Linked DNA regions of Notamacropus eugenii. The protein of the gene in region 2 interacts with the protein of the main gene of each other region in a pairwise test. Links are inferred from orthologs where the notes say so. Each region holds a gene or a part of one and is shown on either strand. Other genes may lie near its edges.

Evidence for each region.
Region 1: the proteins of GABARAPL1 (region 2) and SCYL3 interact in binary tests that used the Homo sapiens proteins (3 or more experiments, as listed by UniProt). The two-hybrid records come from large-scale screens. The link is inferred for Notamacropus eugenii from reciprocal best matches to the Homo sapiens genes GABARAPL1 and SCYL3.

Annotation. Positions count from the first base shown.
Region 1 is NC_092873.1:476,482,662-476,492,747, reverse strand, and holds the start of SCYL3 (protein-associating with the carboxyl-terminal domain of ezrin), read right to left. Parts: upstream 4,332-10,086; 5' UTR 4,247-4,331; coding exon 4,007-4,246; intron 3,986-4,006; exon of another isoform or gene 3,917-3,985; intron 3,760-3,916; exon of another isoform or gene 3,632-3,759; intron 1-3,631. UniProt on the Homo sapiens protein: May play a role in regulating cell adhesion/migration complexes in migrating cells.
Region 2 is NC_092874.1:200,018,640-200,028,857, forward strand, and holds the start of GABARAPL1 (gamma-aminobutyric acid receptor-associated protein-like 1), read right to left. Parts: upstream 4,679-10,218; 5' UTR 3,987-4,678; coding exon 3,897-3,986; intron 1-3,896. UniProt on the Homo sapiens protein: Ubiquitin-like modifier that increases cell-surface expression of kappa-type opioid receptor through facilitating anterograde intracellular trafficking of the receptor. Involved in formation of autophagosomal vacuoles.

The DNA of each region.
Region 1 (10,086 bases), on a different chromosome or scaffold from region 2:
CCGACTCAATTTGTCAAACATTTTTAAGCACCTAATATGTGTGAAGCACTGGGTACAAACCAAACAATCACTGCCCTCAAGAGAACATGTACCCACATAAATGCAAAGTGTACACAAAGTGGTGTGGAAGAGGAAGGCACTAAAAGGCTAAGGGGGAAGAGAATTCAAGAGAGACCTCAGATACAAGGCTTTAATCATCATCTCTATGCCAATGCCAGTGCCTACTGGCCTCAGTCTTCCCCCTGTACTGCCATCATCAACAGACTATTAAACATTTCAAACTGGGTATTCCAGAGATATATCCCAAACTCAACATATCCCAAACATAACTTTTTATCTCTATCCCAATCTACTCCTTCCCCAAACTTCCCTATTTCAGTCAAAGGTACAGTCATTTATTTTTCAGTCTTTCAACTTAGACATTATCCCCAGCTCTTTTTCCAAGTCTCCTACCCAATCATTTGTTAGACGTTGTGGTCTCTATCTCCACAACATTTTACTTCTGACACTGTAGTTCAGACTCTCATCACTACAACAGCTTCAGTTCTCTACTTCAGTCCATCCTGCATATGGCTGCCTAAGTGCTTTCTTTAAAATGCAGATCTGACCATATCACTGCCCCACTCAATAACTCTCTTTCCTCTAGAATCAAATATAAACACCTCTGCTTACCTTTTAAAGTCCTTCAAAACCTTGCCCAGCTTGTCTTTCCCTCCTTGTTGGATATGACTGCCTTTCCCACAGTTGGTGATCCAGCCAAACTGGCTTCCTCCTCCTCATTTCCCAGAGCTTTGTACTCCTACTCCCTTATATTTGGGATGCACTCCCCTCTTCACCTCTGCTATAAAGAATTTCTCTCTTCAAGAAGTCCCTCAAGCACCACTTTCTACCCATCCCCTCAATTGTTAGTACCTGATATCTCCAACTTGCACTGTCCCCTGTTACAACGTAAGCTCTTTGTGACAGACTGTTCCCAGTACCTAGCAGAGGACATAGCCGACTGACTGAGAACAGTGATTCTACAAGGTGGTCAAGGAGTCCATTCCCTCTATCAGGGACAACCTATTCAAAAGCACAGAGACAATGTCATATACAGGCCTTAAACAACCTCTGAGCCTCAGTCTCCCTCATCAATTCTCAAATGGATGTGTGAGCTCACCAATTTGGAAGCTTCCTCTTCCAACGGTGTCCATCTGCTGCAATTATATGTCCTGAGAGAAGGTACCTAGAAGTCCTATCCAACCTGTTGCATATTTCCACTATCTCACGGGTTTCTATGAGAATAAAATTGGGAATGTGTATGTAAAGCTCTTTGTAAGCCATAAGGCACTATGCGAAATATACTCAGCTACTCAAGTAACTATAATCATTGATTTCATGTGTTACTCTTTGTGTATGATTCTTAGCAATCAGTCTAACAAAGTTTTAGATAGGCACAGCAAAAACAAAATGATGTCTTTGAAAAGCAAGATGTTTTATGTACAAGACCCTTTGGAATTTCTCTTAAGGTAAAAAAAAAAATATGTATTTTAAAGAAGTCCACATTTCTCAGGAGATATTTATTTTGTCTTTACAGAACTGTACTCACACATATATGCCCCTTACTGCTAATGCCTTCACTATGGGATTTTTTCTTTCTCCTATAATTTGTTTGTACATAACTGTTGCATGATGTTTCCCTAGGCTGTGAGCTCCTTGAGAGCAGAAACTGTTTTTGGCATAAATAAATAAATTTACGAATGAATGACTGAATAAATAAGAACTTGCTGACTTGACTTTTAAGGACCCTGAGCTTCTCTGTGTACCTAAGGCTCATCTTGTTAATACTAATATTCTTCTATTCTATTCTATGGTTGTGAGAGACATGAGAATGAAAATGAATATTGCTAAAATGTCAAAGGAGAGGTATATGAAGGCTGCAAAACGTTAAAAATAAGGAATTACCGAGAAGCTTAGTAAAGAAGGCCATTAAAGAGGGAAGCACCTCCCCCTGTGCGTACAACTTAGAGAACAGGGGCAGACAGTTTCCTCTATACCAATTAAGGGAATGTCCAAATGATGGATTCACACATGCTCTAAGGAAAATCTGATAGGTGACAGGACCAGATGCTAATCAATCAACAAACATTTCCTGGAGCTCACTGCCTGATAGCAAGAGCCACACTCATTTTGCCAGGTCCACCAGCATTAATGTCAGTAGTCTGAGGAAAACATCCTAGCTCAGGTGATGCTAAGAGGAATCTTTTCTATAGCTAGTTGTGAATACTGTTTTCAAAGAAAACTATTTGTTACCATAGTTGGAAAAAAACCAGCTACGTTATCTACAAATATCTAAAATCAATGATTGCAATCCTTTGCATACTACAAGTATCCGTCTAGAGAGATGTCTGGATGATGTTAACGAAAACTGCGCCATCCGGGTTCAGGGTATGAGAGGGTAAAGGGCAAGGTTACTGACTAGATCTAGGCAAATTCCCTTGAGACTTCAGAGTTCTCTCGCTGTTCCAGAAAGGAAAGCAAACACAACGAAGTTTACTAGCTCAAAGGCAGGCAGGCAGACCAGCTCCCTCCAAAGATCAGATTTTACGTTTCCATGCTTGGCCTCAGTAACAACCCGCCGTGAAACTGACAAGCGGGGAGGACGCCCGTGACAACCAAGGAAACAAACTCGACAACGATTCCGGCACCCTACTGAGCGCCGCACCGGGACTCGGGAGACCAGGACTTAAATTCTGCCTGGCCTCACGGGCCTCAGCTTCCTCATCCGTAAGACGAGGGTAACGTTAACCCCTCCTTCCCAGGACTGCTGTAAGGACACAGCACCGTGCCAACCCTGAAGGGCTACACGAATTCTGGAATCTTGTCCTGAAGCAGAAACCCGAGTTCCAGCTGCTCTGTGCGGGCCGCGGTCCCAGCAGGGTCAGCTCTCTGGGCAGCGCCGGGCGGACCTGACCAGACGGCCTGGGCTGAAGCAGAGGCAGGGGCGCAGACGAACTCTTAGGGAGACGCTTGAGCCCAAGTCACAGGTGGGAGGGCTCCGAGCGCGGCAGGAGTACAAGAGAACGCTTTTACCGGACGTCACGGTCCTGTCAACCACGTGTCCGCTCCACCTACGGCCCCACCCCGGGCACGGACTCGGGGTCCGCGGCTGGTGCGGCCCGCCGGGCACAGGCCGGCGCTGCCTACGCAGGCCGGGGGACTCCTTTGCCACGTCCTTGTCCAGGGGGCGAAGGCCACTTCGGCCCCAACTTTCCCACGGCGCGCTCCCCGCACCGCCTGCCCCCGGGTTTCGGGAAAGGCCGGGCGGGCTGGGCACGCGGACCTCCATGCCCTCGCTCTTTCTCCTTTTACGAACACTCCCCCTCCCCCCAGACGGCCCGGCAGAAAAGACTGCGGACCGGCGAGGGGGCGCCCGGCGGGGCCCGGACCCGCGATGACCGCGCACCAACTTTCGGACCCGCCCGCCCGGCGGAGCACTAGCCTGCGGGCGCCCGCCTGGCCCGGACCCCGACAGCCGACCCGGGCCCGTCACGCGCGCCCCGAGCCTCCGGGGCACGCGCTCCGGCTCGGCCCGGGCGGCCCCCAGACCCCGACCTGCACTCCCAGAGGCGGCGGAGGGCAGGCCTCTCACCTGCGAGGGCGGCAGCGCCGAGAAGCGGAGGGTGTCGGCTCCGGGCGGGATCCGCTTCACTACCAGCGACCCCTATGACCCCTGACCTTCTCCCGGCCCCGCCAGGCTGCGGCCCCTGCGCCCACTGACCGGGGTTCGGTCCAGCCGACACCATAGAGACGCCCCCGGAAACGGGACAGAACGCCAGCCTCCGTCCCTCCGACTCCACCAGAGAGGCGGCTGCGCCCGGGACCGCACTAGAGCGGCGCCAGCCCTCGGACCGTGGCGCCGAGCGCTGTCCCTCACCGTAGCCGGCGGAGACAGTCACTCTTGGTCAGGCCTCCGCCCCAAAAGCTATCTCGGGAAGCTTTTCCTTCTAGTACTTCTAAGCCTTACCACCGAGCTCGGGTTCCACTTCCGCCCGAATCCAAAATGGCTGCCCGGCCACTCCGTTTCACGTCGTACGGGAAGGGGGCGGTGCGCCGCGCATCTCCTGCACTCCGATTGGTTCCTCTGCCGGGACTCAAGTTTCCCTGGCGAAGGACTGATGCTTTGGCCGCCATGATGGGTTCGGGCAGACTTTCGTAGGCGATTCCTAGCAGCGCGAGTTCCGCCGGACCTGGCCAGGCGGAGCATTCGACAGGTGAGCCCGGACCTGAGGGCGAGGCCTCTGCTCCCCCGCCCCTCGGTAGTAAGTTAGGTTCCCAGGCCTTTTCTAGATACTGGATAGATTCAAATAAATACAGTGAATCCATTTTTAAAGTCCCGAGTCGCCTGGAAGCCCCACGCTGCGGGGTCTCGGCCGGACGAACGTGGGCCCTTCCTTGCCCGAGGACTGGTCCGGCCTGGTCCGGCCCCTCTCGCACGCCCACTCCCCCGCCCAGGCGGGCCCTTATCCCCGCCAAGGGGGCCTGGGCTCCCCGGTCCCGGCCCCGCCCGCGCGCGCTTCTGCGCTCGGTCCATTGACTTTTACAGAGACGGAGACTGAGCCCCCCGAAGGTGAGCGGCCCGGACGTGACTCCGGCCAGCGCACGTTCACCTGTCCGGAACAAAAAAGCCATTTCCGAAAGTCCCCGGAGGAGCGCCCTTGGGGCCGAGGGCAGAACCCGTGACCGTCAGGTCCCCGGCGGCTCCCGGGTCCGCCCCAGCCTGCGCAGCCGGGCCCGCGGCTTCCGGTGCTCGGGGAACCCTGGCCACGGCCGAGGGGGGGCCGTGAGAACGAAGCTGCCTGGCTTTATGCAACAGAAGTCGTTGAATTTGAATTGAAATCGAACCACGACCGGACTCTGCTCCCCCAGCTTTGCGACCCTTGGTTGGGCAGAGGCCCCTCAGGGACCCGGGGACAGGGGACGCCTTGGCCTTAGGGCCACAGGTGGACGCGCCCTCCACCCCCACCCCCCCGGGCTCCGTCGCTTCAGACTCGGGGTCCGGTGCCATCTGGTCTTCGCGCTACGTGAATGTCCCGCCACCGAGGCGCTCGACCCGTCGCCCAGCCAGCAGACCGGCACCGCCCGCTCCGGTTTCACACGGCTTTGGTTTTGAATGACTTTTCTGGGTAGTGTAAGAAATGGAGCTCGGTTTCTTCAGGCCGAACCTTGGTTCCGTAAACGCCCGGCCGCTTGTTTTCTCCTTCTCGGTCCGCTGAGGTGCCCCCCTCCCCCCTCCTCCCTCTCCCCTCCCTCCTCCCCGCCTCTCTTCTCCCTCCTCCCTCTCCCCTTCCTCCTCCCCCCCTCTCTTCTCCCTCCTCCCTCCTCCCCCCCTTCTCCCTCCTCCCCCCTTCTCCCTCCTCCCTCCTCCCTTTCCCCTCCCTCCTCCCCCCTCCCTTCTCCCTCCTCCCTCCTCCCTCCTCCCCCCTCCCTTCTCCCTCCTCCCTCCTCCCCCCTCCCTTCTCCCTCCTCCTCCCTCCCTCCTCCCCCCCTCCCTTCTCCCTCCTCCCTCCTCCCCCCCTCCCTTCTCCCTCCTCCCTCCTCCCTCCTCCGTCCTCCCCCCTCCCTTCTCCCTCCTCCCTCCCCCCTCCTTCCTCCTCCCCCCCTCTCTTCTCTCTTCTCCCTCCTCCCTCTCCCCTCCCTCCTCCCTCCTCCGGGCCGGTCTCAATCCACCCCCTGGGAGAAGAACTCGTGCCGGACGTGGTGGGAGAAGGAACGAGAAGACTGGAAAGAAAAGAGCAGGTTCAGGCGCTGCGAGGGGGAAGGAGCGGGACGTGCAGGGAAAGCCCTCCCCAAGGGCCGAGCTCAGCCTCCGGCTGGGTCCGAGCCGGGCCGGCAGGTGGGGGGAGGCTTGTGGCTGCTGAGGGGCCGTGGGAGGGGCCGTGTCCTGGGAGTGCCAGGGGGCTCGGAGACCGCGTGGGCATTGCCGGCGGGGGCTGCGCAGTCATCTGGCATCCGGGCCCCAGAGGATGGAAGAGCTCTGAGGGGGGTCTTCAGCCGAGGGAAGGGCATCAAAACCGGGGAAGTGAAGCAAGTGGAAAGGAGGGAGGGCAGGCGAGAACGACTCCGGGGGCCTTCCAAAAATATTCTATTTATAACGTCTCTCCCTCGCTGCGCCCGCTCTGCCAGCTGAACGACGAACAAACAAAAGATGGCCTTCATCCTAAACACGTAGAAGCCGGTAGAAGCCGGCCAAACAAGCTCCTCAGAACGCTCCCCAGTCTGAGGGTACACTTGCCTTCTCCCTTGTGTATTCTTCCAAAGGTCGAAGGAGCACAAGTTACAATATACATTTGTAATATATGCTGAATCAGGGGAAACCGTACGGGCAAGGGTTCTAGTCCTAGGATAGGTCAGTTCTAGACCAAATCCAGACTTCCACTGCTCCAGACCAGCAGAACATCAGAAAGACGGTGATAAGCTTGATGAAGCGGACATGCTGACTTTGAAGTTGTACAGGTAACTTTGAGACGCTCTGGATGTTAATGAACCCCCTCCAAGGCTCTGGCCTGGCCTCCCCCAAACCCCATCAAAGTGAGACTCCACCAGACCATGCTGCCCAGTGCTCCCAACTCGGGTCCATACTCTTCCTCATCCCCTTCCCCATCCATTCCCTCTGTATCCCTCCCCACTTTTCAGTGCTTGTCTGTGCCTTAATAAAGTGTGTTTGCTGCCCCGTTTCCTGTTGCCAGTCATGGACTTTCTTGGCAAGTACCCAGAGAACTGAGAGCTTGCCTACTCCCATTTCATAATTTTGTAGGTCCATAAATTATCAATTCAGCGACTAAAATTAAAAGAAGGGAAATTAGTGATTTAAACATTAAGCTCCCATTGTCAGACCCACTCTGAAGGAATCTAGACTCTTTTGGGGGGTCACAGATCAGTGATTACCTCTATAGCTTTCCTAGTGCAGATGTAGCCTTTATTAGGATAAAGTATAGCAGAACTATTATTTCCTCATACACTTCAGTTAGACATTAGATGCCCAGCATGTACAAGGTTACCATGCCAGATGTAGATACAAAACAAAAGCAAGAATGCCCAACTGCAAGAAATTTACATTCTTTTGGAGGAATAAACCAAATCAGTTGAGGATGAAGAGACTACTACCAACTTGGTGAGGAGAAGGGAAAAAAATTGGGAAGTTCCAATGGAGGAGTCAGGCCTGGAGCTGAACCTTGAAGAAAAAAACAACTAAGGTTGGAAAACAGAGTGATTAAGAAGGCTCTTTCCAGGAATGGGGGATGACTTAAGCATGCATATCAGAAGTGTAAGTCAGATTCCACCCAAGCCTGGGGCAGTTTTGTCTTCAGCTTTTTTTGGCTTCTGATTTGACTTTTGAGGGCTGAGCCTGATGACTTCTTATGGGCTTTAAGACCTTAATTTAAAAAGGCCAAAGTCTCCCATCGTATCCAGCGCCACCTCCAGTCATCCTGATCTGTACCTTACCACTGGACTCAGCACTGGTGGAGAAAGTCAGGCTGATCACTTTGCTGGTCACTGACTTAAATCCAATTCACTCACATGGCATAGCATCACTTCCTTAAAGTCATGGTCCACTACTAAAGGACAAATGACAACAAGGGACTTAATTCAATCGGTTATTGAGATTCTTCAGAGATCTTGGAAAGCAACTGAGAAAAAGCTTCCAAATGCCAGACTATAGTTTTCTAAGTGGCAGACGTGAAGAAACCAGCTCTTCTCAACTCCTGGGCCTGTAATTCTAGAGACTGCCGAGAGAAGACCTTTCCTGTGTGGGATTGTTCTCCTGACTTGAGCTGAGATCATTTTTAAAATTTCAGCTGAAGAAGGAATTAATGTTCCTTTATTCTTGTGTATTTCCTGTACACTATAATCTGTAGAACTTCTCTAATTTATGTATGCTTTATTGTTTGGATAAATGTATTCATTATTAGCTCTTTGTGATGATCTTTTGTATAAATCATATTTGGGAGGGTGGGGCTAATCTGCCAGGGTATTCTTTTGAACATATTATACCCTTAGATACTATAGATACTGGATGTTACAAATAGAGGCAATTGGAGCCTAAAACTCTCTTGAAGAGAGATTTCCTGGTCCCTGCCTGCCCCTGTCCCCAGCTATAGTGTTTTGCATTACTGGCAAAGTCTTTCTCCAGCTCCCTGAAAGGTGGGTCATCAGCTGCAGTTGCATCATCCGCTACATCAGGGTAGATACAGAAGGTATTACAGATGAATCCAGGAGTTATGGTAGACTAGAAGACTGAAACACTGAACTCTATGAGAAAGGACAGAGAGTGACCTGAAAGCTAATCAGAGGTCACAACAGTTATCTGAACAGTGACAGAGATGGAGTATACATCAAAGAACAGGCTGCTGAATTAAAATGATAGATAATAGTGTGGGGCAAGAGAGCATATAGCTCCTTTTTCTGCTGCTGTGTGTCACTTGGCTTGAGAGACAGAATGGCCAACACTGGGAAAGGGAAGGTTTCTAGGAATGAGTGTTCTGGGAAAAACAAGACTGTCCAGAGTATGGAAAAAGTGAGGGGTGGAAATGGCCCCTCTGGGGAGGGCAAAGTAGAGAGGTCCAAGATATGATCTAGGGAGGAGAGATCGGAGACCAATAGAAGACAGGGAGTGGAAATTGCAGGTTAAGGATACTACCTGTCTCTTAATGTAACATGAGGTGTTCTGTTTTGGATTTTTGGCTGCAAATGACTAGTCTGAAACCCAGATCTGCCCCTTTCACTGCTTTTGTAAGTGTAAGTACCTCCTGATTCACTTTCCTATCTTATCTCTTCTCCCTCATCAATTATTCCTCCACATAGCTGACAAACTAATTTTCCTGAAGTACAGGTGTGACCATGTTACTTCTTTACTTCGCAAACTCCAATGGTTCCCATCGCCTCTAGGATCAGACATAAACCTCTCTGCTGAGTTTTTCAATCCCTTTGCAACCAAGACCCAGTGTACCTTTCCAGTCTCAGTCTACATATCCCTTTCCTGTACTCCATGATTCTCTACTTGTCCTTCACATAGGGCACCCCATCTCCCACCTTGGCATCTTGCCAGTGCCAGGAGACTTCTCACTTTCGCTCCTATCTTTTAGAATCTCATCTTATAGAAATTTGGAACCATGTCCAATATGTTATTAAAATGTATGCCTTCTGACTTGGCTTTTTCACTATTAGGCCTATAAACCAAAGAAATCAAAGAAAGAGGAAAAGTATCTACATGTGCAGAAATAATTATAGCAATTTTTTACAGGATAGCCAAAAAATTGGAAACTAGGGGACTAAGGAAACCATGCAGGGGAATGGTTAAACAAATTGAACTATATGGATAAAATGAAATATCACCATGCCATAAGAAATGATGAAATAAACAATTTCAGAAGAACCTAGGGAGATCTTTATGAAACGATGCAGATAGAAGTGAACGGAAATAGGAGAACAGTTTATCCAATGACATCATAGAGAAAACAACTTTGAAAACCTTAAGAATTCCAATTAACAGCATTAATTCAATGATAAACCATAAGTTCATCACATTCTGATAGAGAAATAATGAACTTAAAATGCAGAAAATGACATACGTTTTCAGACATGGCTAATGTGGGCATCTGTTTTGTAGGTTATATGGCTATGAACTGAGGGAATCTGGGGTTTTTTTTTTTAATTTTCTCAGTGGGAGAGTAGTAGGAGAAAAAGATTAACTTTTAAAACTTGATACTTGAAAAATAAAAAATATTAAATATTTTTTTTAAAAATCTCATTTCCTTCCAAACTCTGCTCAAGCACCACTTTCTAACATGCAGCCTTTCCTAGGCCCTCCAATACTCATACTGTTTCTCTCACCCCCAGATTTACGTTGTACATATTTTGCATATACTTCTTTACATACATGTTGTTTCTCCCAATAAAAGACAGCAGAGATTGTTTCATTTTTTCTTTTCATTCCAAAACCTTGTACATAGTGTTTAATAAATCCATGCTTTATTAATATAATTAATAACAGTTATTCTGCACTTGACAAATAAGAAACATGAACATCTTAAGAAGATTATATGA
Region 2 (10,218 bases):
AAGAAAGTATAGAGCCTAACAAATCAAGGGACTAACCAATTTTATTCTATTTTTACCAATGAGGAAAGTCTTCAGGGAGAATTTGCTCCAAATTACAGGACTAATAAGTGAGGCCACTTATTAACAGTAGAAAAATCAGACTTTAATCAGGACTTGGGGACTATGCGCTATAACTGTGACCATGAGCAAGTCACCTAATGCTCCTGGAGCCTCAGTTTCCTCATCAGTAAAATGAGGGGATTCATAAGTTTAAAGCTAGAAAGGCCCTTAGGTCACCCAGCCCAACCCTTTCTTTTGAGAGATAACAAACTATGAAGTCCAACACTGATTAGGTGAGTCCTGAAAACCTGAATGAGTACTCTATTATATCAGCTTAAGGCAGAGAGGGCAAAATGATTAATCAATCAATTTCAGGAGCATGTACTTAGGGCCTAGTAAGTGTGAAGGCATTGGGTTCAACATTGGGAATAGCAAAAGAAAAGTTAAAACAAGACACTGCCCCTCAGGGAGCTTACCTACTATTGGGGGGAGAGGGAGGGAGGGGGGAGGAAGGAGGAAGGGAGACCATGTGTGTGTATATATGTGTGTATACGTATGTGTGTGTGTGTGTGTGTGTGTGCATGCACGTGCGCACAAAAATAGATACAAGATGATGGCAAGGGGTTTAACACTGCTAACAGCTGGGGGGGACTGGAAAAGGCCTCATTTAAAATTTGGCCCTTATGCATGACCTTGGAGCCAAAGAGGTCTGGCAATGGGGACGACCAGTAAACAAAGCAGAAGGTAAATAAATGGAATTATGTGTAAGGAAGTAAGTCTGACTAGACTAGCATATCGGAAGGGGAGTACTGTATAATAATGCTGGAAAGGTCGATTTCGGCAAAGTTGTTATTTAAGATATATCAGGGGTGTGGTACCTGAGGCCCTGTAAGTCCTTGGATGCGTCCTTTTGACATAGTCCAAGTTTTACAGAACAGATCCTTTTATTTAGGGGATCTGTTTTGTGAAGTTTGGATTCAGTCAAAGCACAACATTTGAGGACCTAGAAAGCCACATGTGACCTGGAGGCCACAGGTTCCCCATCCATGGATATGATTCTGGAGTTATAATAGGAACCACCAGAGTGACTGAAATGACATGATCCAAACTTTAAAAAAAAATCACTTGGATTCCAGTGTGAAGTGAAGAGAAACTAGAGGTAGGAAGACCAATTTCAAGGCTATTCAAATCCAGGCAAGAGCTGATACTGTTACGAACTAGGATGGAGAGATGGCAGATGAAAAAGGTATTGTAGAAGGCCAATAAGCATGAAAGATAATGACAGAATGGATAGGGGGGTGAGGGAAAGGGGAAGATTCAAGGTTATGAACCTGGGTTGACTAAAAAGATGGGTAGTTGGATAGCAACTGTACTGGGCTTAGAGTTAGGAAGACTCACCCTTTCTGAGTTCAAATCAGGCCTAAGACACCAATAGTTAGTTGTGTGACCCCAGGCAAGTTACTTTAACCCTGTTTGACTCAGTTTCCTCCAAGAAGGAAATGGCAAACCAATTCAGTATTTCTGCCCAGAAAATCCCAAATGGGGTCAGGGAAAGAGTCAGATGAGATTGAACAACAATAAAATAGCTGAAAAGATGGCGTCCTTTAGATTGGGAGAAATTTGGAAGGAACAGGGGTGGGTTTGGAAGACAAAGGAAGACATTTTGGACATATTTAGTTTGAAATATCAAAGAGACAGTACAGTTTGTGATGGAGAACTGGAGATCAAGAGAGATTCAGACTTTATGAGATCTGGGAGTCACCATGTGTTCAGTCATTTTTTCAATCATGTACGACTCTTTGTGACTCCATTTGGAGTTTTCTTGGCAAAGATACTGGAGCAGTATGCCATTTCCTTCTTCAGTTCACTGTACAGAGGAGAAAACTGAGGCAAACAGGGCTAAATGACTTGCCTGAGGCCACTGAGGTCATCAATAAATCAAGACTTCCTTTGATACAGGCTAAAGGAAAGTCTAGTCAAACTGCTATTTCTCCCACAAGAAACTATGTCTCCTAAATCCATGTCATTGCATTGGTTGTCCCTCATGCCTGGAATGCACTCCCATCTCACCTGGTCAGTCTTATAAAATGTTCCTTCAAAATTCTGCTGAATTTCCACCTTCAATAGGAAGCATTTCCTGATTTCCACAACTGGTAGTGTCATTCCCCCCACTGATTTTATTTTGTATACTTATTTATGTTGTCTCCCTTGATGGCAAAGGTTATATCACTTGCCTTTGTATCCCCAGTAGCATAAGAGAATGTATAGAGAAGTTAAAGAGCATGGTGTAGAAGTTAGGAGACATGCAGGAGGGGATAAGTGGAGAGTGGATAAGGCAGGAGAATCAATAATAAAACAAAAGCCAAAAATAGTGTCACAAAATTCCAGAAAGGGATGGACAGTCAATGTCACATGCTTCAAAGAAGTCAAGAAGAGAACTTGTTTACTCAGTCATCTTTTCCCTCTAACCAAATACTAACCAGTGAGTCCTGCAGGAGATGTGGGAGGTGACTGGAAAGGGGACCTCCTTAGTCTCCTTTGAGAGGGTGACTGACATTCTATAACTGGATCCAGATGTGGCAAGATGGCCTACCTTGTTTCCAAACCTACCTCAACTAGTCTGCTTGGAGAAACGTCAGTCTTAAGAAGGTCTCAGCTGTTACATTAGGAACTCAAAAGCTATAAAAATAAATGCCTCATATCCCCATTATCTTTACTTCCAGATCTCCATCCTGGATTAACTGACTTCTAAATTTTGCAGCAGTAATGTCAATCAATAAGGCCTCAATTATTCTGCAGGGAGCAGGGCCTGGGTAAAGCACTAAAACATTTTTCATTGATTCTTTTTGTTTCCTCTCCATACCTCTAGTTTTTGCACCCATACCTCCCAAACTCTATGGTCTATGCTCCCTCTACCCCACCCTACCTCCATATGAACCTGTTTTTCCCCAAATCCAAACAGTCCCACTTTCACAGAGGCGCAGCATGTTCCCTCACAGAGAAAGGGGTGGGGGTGGCGCAGCAGGGTGTTAGGGACAGAAAATATGATAAATTAGAGCTGAAAGAAGAACTCTCCCCACCCCCAACTCCTGCATTTTCTGTGACAAGTCAGTCTGGTCAAAGGCAAAACAGTCACCAGAAAAAAGCTGTTCTCCCCCTAACATGCGTTAATTCTAAAGCCAAGGATGATGAAGCAAACTGGTTGCTGCGCAGATATTATGCCCCTGTTTGCCAAGCCGGTTCGGTCTTGTGTTTTTTTAAGAGAGGAAGGAGCCCATGTCTCTCTTCCCCCGCCCAATTAATTCCAAGGACAAAAGGTCTAGAAGCCCGAAGATGGAACCAGAGCTGAATAAACCCTTGAAAGGACATAAACAAACAGGGCGAAGCCGCAGAGCCATCGCCATGGTGGCCACCCTGATCAACAGCTTTCTCTTGGCGTTCTTCCATGCAGTCAAGAAAAGACCCCATCCTACCCATTCTCACACAAGAGCGCCGCATCTTGAACACAAGCACCACCTACACAAACGCACCTGGCGCACTCCTGAGTCACTGGGCTTCATCTCCGAACACGCACGTATCAAGGCAGTGATGGTGCATTGCCCCCATTCCTCAGACTCACAACAACACACATTCTCTGCTGATGCTCAGTTTAGAAGCCCCCTATGCCTCTGCTACTAACGGTGGGGTGCGGGATGTCATCAGTAGGGATATCCAGTTTACATTATTAGGGAATTGGAGACGAAATGTCTTCCAAGGACCCTTCCTGCTCCTCAGGTCAGAGAGCTGTCGCGTCCCCATCCCCTCCCCCTCCTTCTTCCTTTCCTCCCACCCTTTCTCCAGGCCCCCAAACCACTCACAGGGACTCTGTCAGGGTATTTCTTCCGAATCTTCTCCCCTTCTTTTTTCCGGTACTCGAAAGGATGATCCTCCTTGTATTGGAATTTCATGATGCTCCGCAGCGTCTCCGATCTCCCCTGGGGGGCCTGGCTTAAGCGGAGTGGATGGTTTCGCCGAGTCTGTCTTTTCCCGGTCGAAGTACAATACGAAGAGCCTTAGCGGTGCCAACCTCTGCTGCCCTGCCCGCTCTGCTCCACCAGTCCGCGGAGAGCGCTCAGAACTGAGGCCCCGGCTGGCCCGGGCTGGGAGGTGGAGAAAGAGCCGGCGTGGGGGTGGGGAAATCCTGCAGCGTTCTTGGAAGAGCCGGGAACACACAGGCAACACAGTAGCAAGCCTGGTATTGTGACGTCACAAAGCTCCGCCCTTCCCTCCCTCACAATGTTCTAGACCCGTCCCGGTGCTGACTCCGAACCGGGGGCCAACGAAAATGTTGTTCAAATGAGCCCACGATATTAACTTTCCTTTTTAAAAAAATCCTTCACCAAATCTTTTTAATCAAAACCTCGTATGGTCTAAAACGCTATTTGTTTCTTTCGTTACGGAATGTCTTAAGGCAAGGTACCAAAGATGCGTACTTCTCCCCCTCCACTTCGTCGTGGGGTTTTTTTGGTTGAATCCAGGAGCAGTTACCAGAGATTAAAGTCCAGCCTTTCTAAGCACATTGGGGTGGCTGGCTGTGGTTGGGGGTGTGAAGTAAGGGGTGGAGGGGTGAGGAGGTGGGAGTGGAAGACCTGCTACGTGTGGGGCAGATACAGAAATCTTTAAGTGTTCTCTCGGCCTTTCTTCTGAGGGTCCTCTCAGTTTACCCAGGGATTCTGCCTGCGCACTTCTATGTATTGTTTTTGTTTGTTAGCTGCAAATTACTAGACTGAGGAACCACATAAACAAGGTGACTAAGGGCTTTAGAAGGATAGAGAATGAGGAAAAATGCAATCCTGGCTTAGAGAGGCTAAGGTGCTGGAGTAGAATTTCCCTTTTAGTGGACTCTTCCAAACCTCGTTTCCAGCCCTTTCCCCACCCTCCTCTTAGAATCACTAGTGTTGCAAGGCCTCACTGCTGAAAGAAAGAAAAACAGAAATCATGTGATGAGGATGAACTGGGCCTTACCCACTACTGTCTGCCAAGAGACTTGTCAGCAGCCACCGGCCCGAATTGGGGAGAGGAGGTAACCAGGGGGATAAACGCAGCATCACAAAATTCCATAGCATTAGACTAATAAAAGATTTGATTTAAATAGCTTTAGGTTAAAATGTTCCTTTGCATGGTTCCCTTGACAACAATCTAGGAGGCAGATGGTGCAGTTATTATTATTTTTATGGTACTGATGAGGAAACTGAGACCAAGAAGAATTAATTGACTTGGCCAAGGTCAAATGGCGTTTAGTAGGCCTCTAATTCAAACTGGGTTTTTCTGCCTTCAGATTCAGTGGTGCTTGGGGACCGAGGACTTGCTTTAGCTGACCTATGAAGAAACTTTCTGAAAAGCCAATCACTCCTAAAATTGTAAATCACTGGAAACTGAGTTGAAATGTCCCTTTGATGTAGTTCACCATGTATCTCAGAAAGAATTCCTCCCACAAATCCAATTAAGTGGTTATCCTGCCTCTCTGCCTAAGGACCTCCAGTGATAGGGAACTGATTGCATCTGTGGAAGCATATTAAAAACCTCTTTTTTTTAGTTCAGCTGAAAATATTAAAAAATAATATTTTCCAGCCAAAACCCTTCTCAAACTTTTCCTTTTAGGGGAAGCCTACAAATTAAGGCCTTAGTAAATGGATTAGATGTGGTAACCAATTTAGGACAACAAAAAAATTGACTTGGCCAGTTTAAGATCACTGGTGTTCCCATTTTGAAAGGATTAGGATTTTGATTAAAGGGTGTTTCCTTTTATTTACTCCTGGAGAACTCTTGAGGGGTCAAGGAAGGAAATGGGTTGTTATTAAGTGACTATTGTTCTATTTGATACAGTAGGATGCTAAACCAAAATTGTATTTTAATATTTTTGTGTCCTTTTCCTTAATCAAGACTCCTGTTACCTCAAGTTGTCTGATGACAGATTTCCAAAGGAATGGGGTTTGGGGAGCTTACTTATTTGGTCATTTCTTTCTCTAACGCATAGACTGGATTTAGAATAATGTTAAATGAATAAAATTTGTTTTCTGAAAGACTTGAGGCTAAAACAAAATTATAGTCATTAATATTTTTCTTCAACTCATTCCAAAGCAACCCCTTCCACTTTGTGATCTCTGTTAGAAAGTCTTTCTGTACATTAAGGCTAAGTTTACCGCATTACAACTCCTACCCATTCCCTGTAGTTCTGCCCCAAAGGGCAAATCAAATCATCTACCATGTGACAGATCTTCAGATACCTAAAGACAGCTATGATGTTTGCCAAGCATCCTTATCTCCATGTTAGCCATTACAGGTTCACTCAGCAGATTGGCATGTATCGAGCTTTTAACTCACTTTGCGAGAAAACGGGCCATCATGCCACTTTCTGGCCATTTCCAAACTATACCTCTGCATCTAACCTCATCCCTCTTTCTACCTTCCCATTATATTTTTCTCACCTGAAAATATTAAGAAATAATACTTTTCCATCCTGAAACATTCCTCAAACTTAAGCGCTTTGAGGGTAGGACTAAGGTACTTCATTATATTTATGTTCTTAAATATCTAGAACAATATTTGACATATGCAAAGTTTATTAAATCCTTTTTCACTCATTTAATTCATCACATGAATGTTAAGCTCTTCACAGTCCTGGTTACCATTCTCTGAAACTCTCAGCTTTTTATAATACCTCCCCAAGTGCGGCACCCCAAAATGAACACAATGATGTAGTTGTGATCTGATCGTGGCAGAGTAGAACATGTTCATCATTTTATTTATGGATATTGTATATTTCTAAATACAGTCAGAAATACATTAGCATTTGTAGAAGCATAAAAGCCTTATTGTCAGTTTCACCAACTGTATTAAGAAAAAATATTTCTCTTGTCTTAAAAAAACGTTCTAAGCTTCTCCCTATTCAAAAGTAATTGATTAAGAATGAAAACCAAACTTTTAATTGAGGTTACCTATGAGCTTCCCAACCCTCAGAAGCAATTGGGCTGTAATTCACCTAAGGGTAGTGCCCCTATTATCCATTTAAAAGAATTATGATATGGATCTGGGGAGGAGGTCATGGGATAGGACTATACATACTTGAGGGGAGTGGTCAAAGAAAGATGTAAGTGGTTATCAATTGACTATGTTCCATCTGTTGAAATAGAATATTAACCCAAAATTTATTTTCTTTGTTCAAAATTCCTATAAAAGTTTCCTTAAATTCTTCTGGGAAGTGAGACTTGTTTAAGGACGTGGGGGAACTATGCCAATTTGAATATTTCTCTCTTCAATTTAGAAATGACTTGTATACTGTTAGTATTTAATGTTAAATAAAATTATTCCTGACATACTATATATGCAGAAAATATAGAGATATGAAGAAATATATATGTATATATAGAGATAAATAGAATATTTGAATATATATAAAAATATATATGGAAATGAGAGGGTAGAGCCAAGATGGTAGAAAAAAGGCAGAGACCTGCCTGACCTCTCCCAAATTCCCATTCAAACAACTGTAAAATAATGTCTCAGAATGAATTCTGAATGGCAGAACCCACAAAGATAGAGTGAAACAATTTTCTAGCCCAAGATAACCTAAAAGGTCAGCAGGAAAGGTCTGGTATACTGGAATGAGAGTGGAGATCAGTCCAACAAAGGCAGAACCCCTCAGCAAGAAGCAACAGACCTGGGGGCAATGGACTTGGCTTCTGGAGCTCTCAGCCCACCGATGGTAAGGAGGTCAGAAGGAGATTACAGAGATCCCTTTGTTAGCATTGGGTAAAGGACTCTGTTGCATTGCCCAAAGGTGGGTTACTGAAAGCCATGATCAAAAAAAGAGCCTAGACATCATCTTTCAAGAAATTATCAAACTGCCCTAATATCCTAGAATCAAAGGGTAAAATAGAATCACCTCCTGAGAGGTGAAATGAAATGAAATTGAAAACTCCCAGAAATATCATAGCAAAATTCTAGAACTCTCAGGTCAAGGAGAAAATATTACAAGCACTCAGAAAGAAACCATTCAAATATTGTGGAGCCATAATCAGGCTAACAGAAGATTACATTACATTAGAGAACTTGGAATGTGATATTCTGGAGGGCTAAGCAGCTAGAATTAGAGCCAAGATTAAACTATGAGCAACATGGAGTTATAATCCTTCAGGAGGAAAAATGAGTATTCAATGAAATAGAGGATAAAAAGACTAGAGCTGAATAGAAATTTTGACTTTTAAATACAAGACTCAAGAGAAACATAAAAAGGTAAACGCAAAAGAGAAATCATAAGGGATTCAATAAGATTAAACTGTTTATAGTCTTACATGGGCAGATGATACTTGTAACTCGTAAGAACTTTATCATTTTGGGGGCAATTAGAAGGAATGTACATAAAGGCCATGGGCATGAATTTAGATGAGATGATGTCTAAAAACATAAAATAAAAAGATAATAAAAAGAATGCACTGGGAGGAGGAAGGGAGAGGTAGAATGGGGGGATATTCCCTCAAAAAAAGAAGTAAGAAGGAGCTTTTATAGTGGAGAGGAAGATAGGGGAAATGGGGAGGAATGCTTTAACCTTACTTTCATTGGAATTGGCTGAAAGAGGGAATAACATACACATTCAGCTGGGTATAAAAATCTATTGTACCTTACAGGAAAGTAGGAGGGAAAGGGAATAAGAGAAGGGGGTGAGGTACTGCTGATAGAAGGGAGAGCAGATTGGGGGAGGCAGTAGTCTTGAAGCAAAACACTTTCAAGGATGAGCAGAGTGAAAGGAGAGAAAGAGTATGGTAAATGGGGGTGGGGGAGGCAAATACACAGTAATTATAACTGAAAATTTTTTACAGTTGTCTCTGATGAAGGTCTCATTTCTCAAATGTATAGAGAAGTGAAGCAAATTTGTAAGAATACAAGTCATTCCCCAACTGATAAATGGTCAAAGGATATGAATAGGCAGTTTTCAGAGGCTGTAATCAAAGCTATCTATAGTCATATGAAAAAAATTCTCTAAATCTGTATTGATTACAGAAATGCAAATTGAAATAACTCTGGGGTGCTCCACACCTATCAAAAAAGGAAAACAACATGTTGGAATGGATATGGGAAAATTGAGACACTAATGCATTGTTGGTAGAATTGAGAACTGATTTAACCATTCTGGAGAACAATTTGGGGCTATGCCCAAAAGGCTATAAAATCCTTTGATCCAGCAATACCACTACTAGGTCTGCATCCCAAAGAGATGAAGAACAAAAAGGAAAAGGATTTAAATGCAAAAAAAAATCATATCAGCTCTTTTTATGGAGCAACAAATTGGAAATTAAGGGGATGCTCATCAGTTGGAGAATGGCAGAACAAGTTGTGGTATATGATTGTGAAATACTATTGTGCTATAAAAGATGATAAGCAGGATGTTTTCAGAAAAACCTGGAAAGATTTACATGAACTGATGCAAAATGAAATGAGCAGAACCAGGAAAAAATTGTACACAGTAACAGCAATATTATGATGCTCAACTATGAATGACAACTATTCTTAGCAATACTGATCCAAGGCAATTCTGAAGGACTTGTAATGAAAAATGCTGTCCATCTCTGGAGAAAGAACTGATGGATGCAGATTGAAAATACTTTTTTTACTTTACTTTTTTTGTTTTTGTTTGTATTTTCCCTTACAACATGACTGTTACATAAATGTGTTTAGTGTGATAGCACATGTACAACCTATATCAAATTACTTGCCTTCTGAAGTAGGGAGGAAGAGAAAGAAGGAGGGAGAGAATTTGAAACTCAGATTTTTAAAAGATGAATGTTAAAAATTGTTTTTACATATAACTGGAAAAAATATGAAATATGAAAAAAATAAAATACATAGTACAGTATTAATATTTTTCTTTGATACTTTTTTCTATCATATCATGTTTTTGATCCATATTGCGTTAAATGAACTCTCAGTTTGGAAACTGAAGAAATAATTGTAAAGTCTGATAGGTTAAAAAAACAACAGAAACTAGAGAAGTTATAGCTATATAGCACAGTGCCTTTATCGTCTTGAACAAAGACTACATTTTCTCTTTAATGAATTTCAAATGATCAATGTAACTCTTGACTTCTGGGCTTTCAACCAGAGGGCATTGATTTAGAGACTATCAATACAGAAGACAGACTA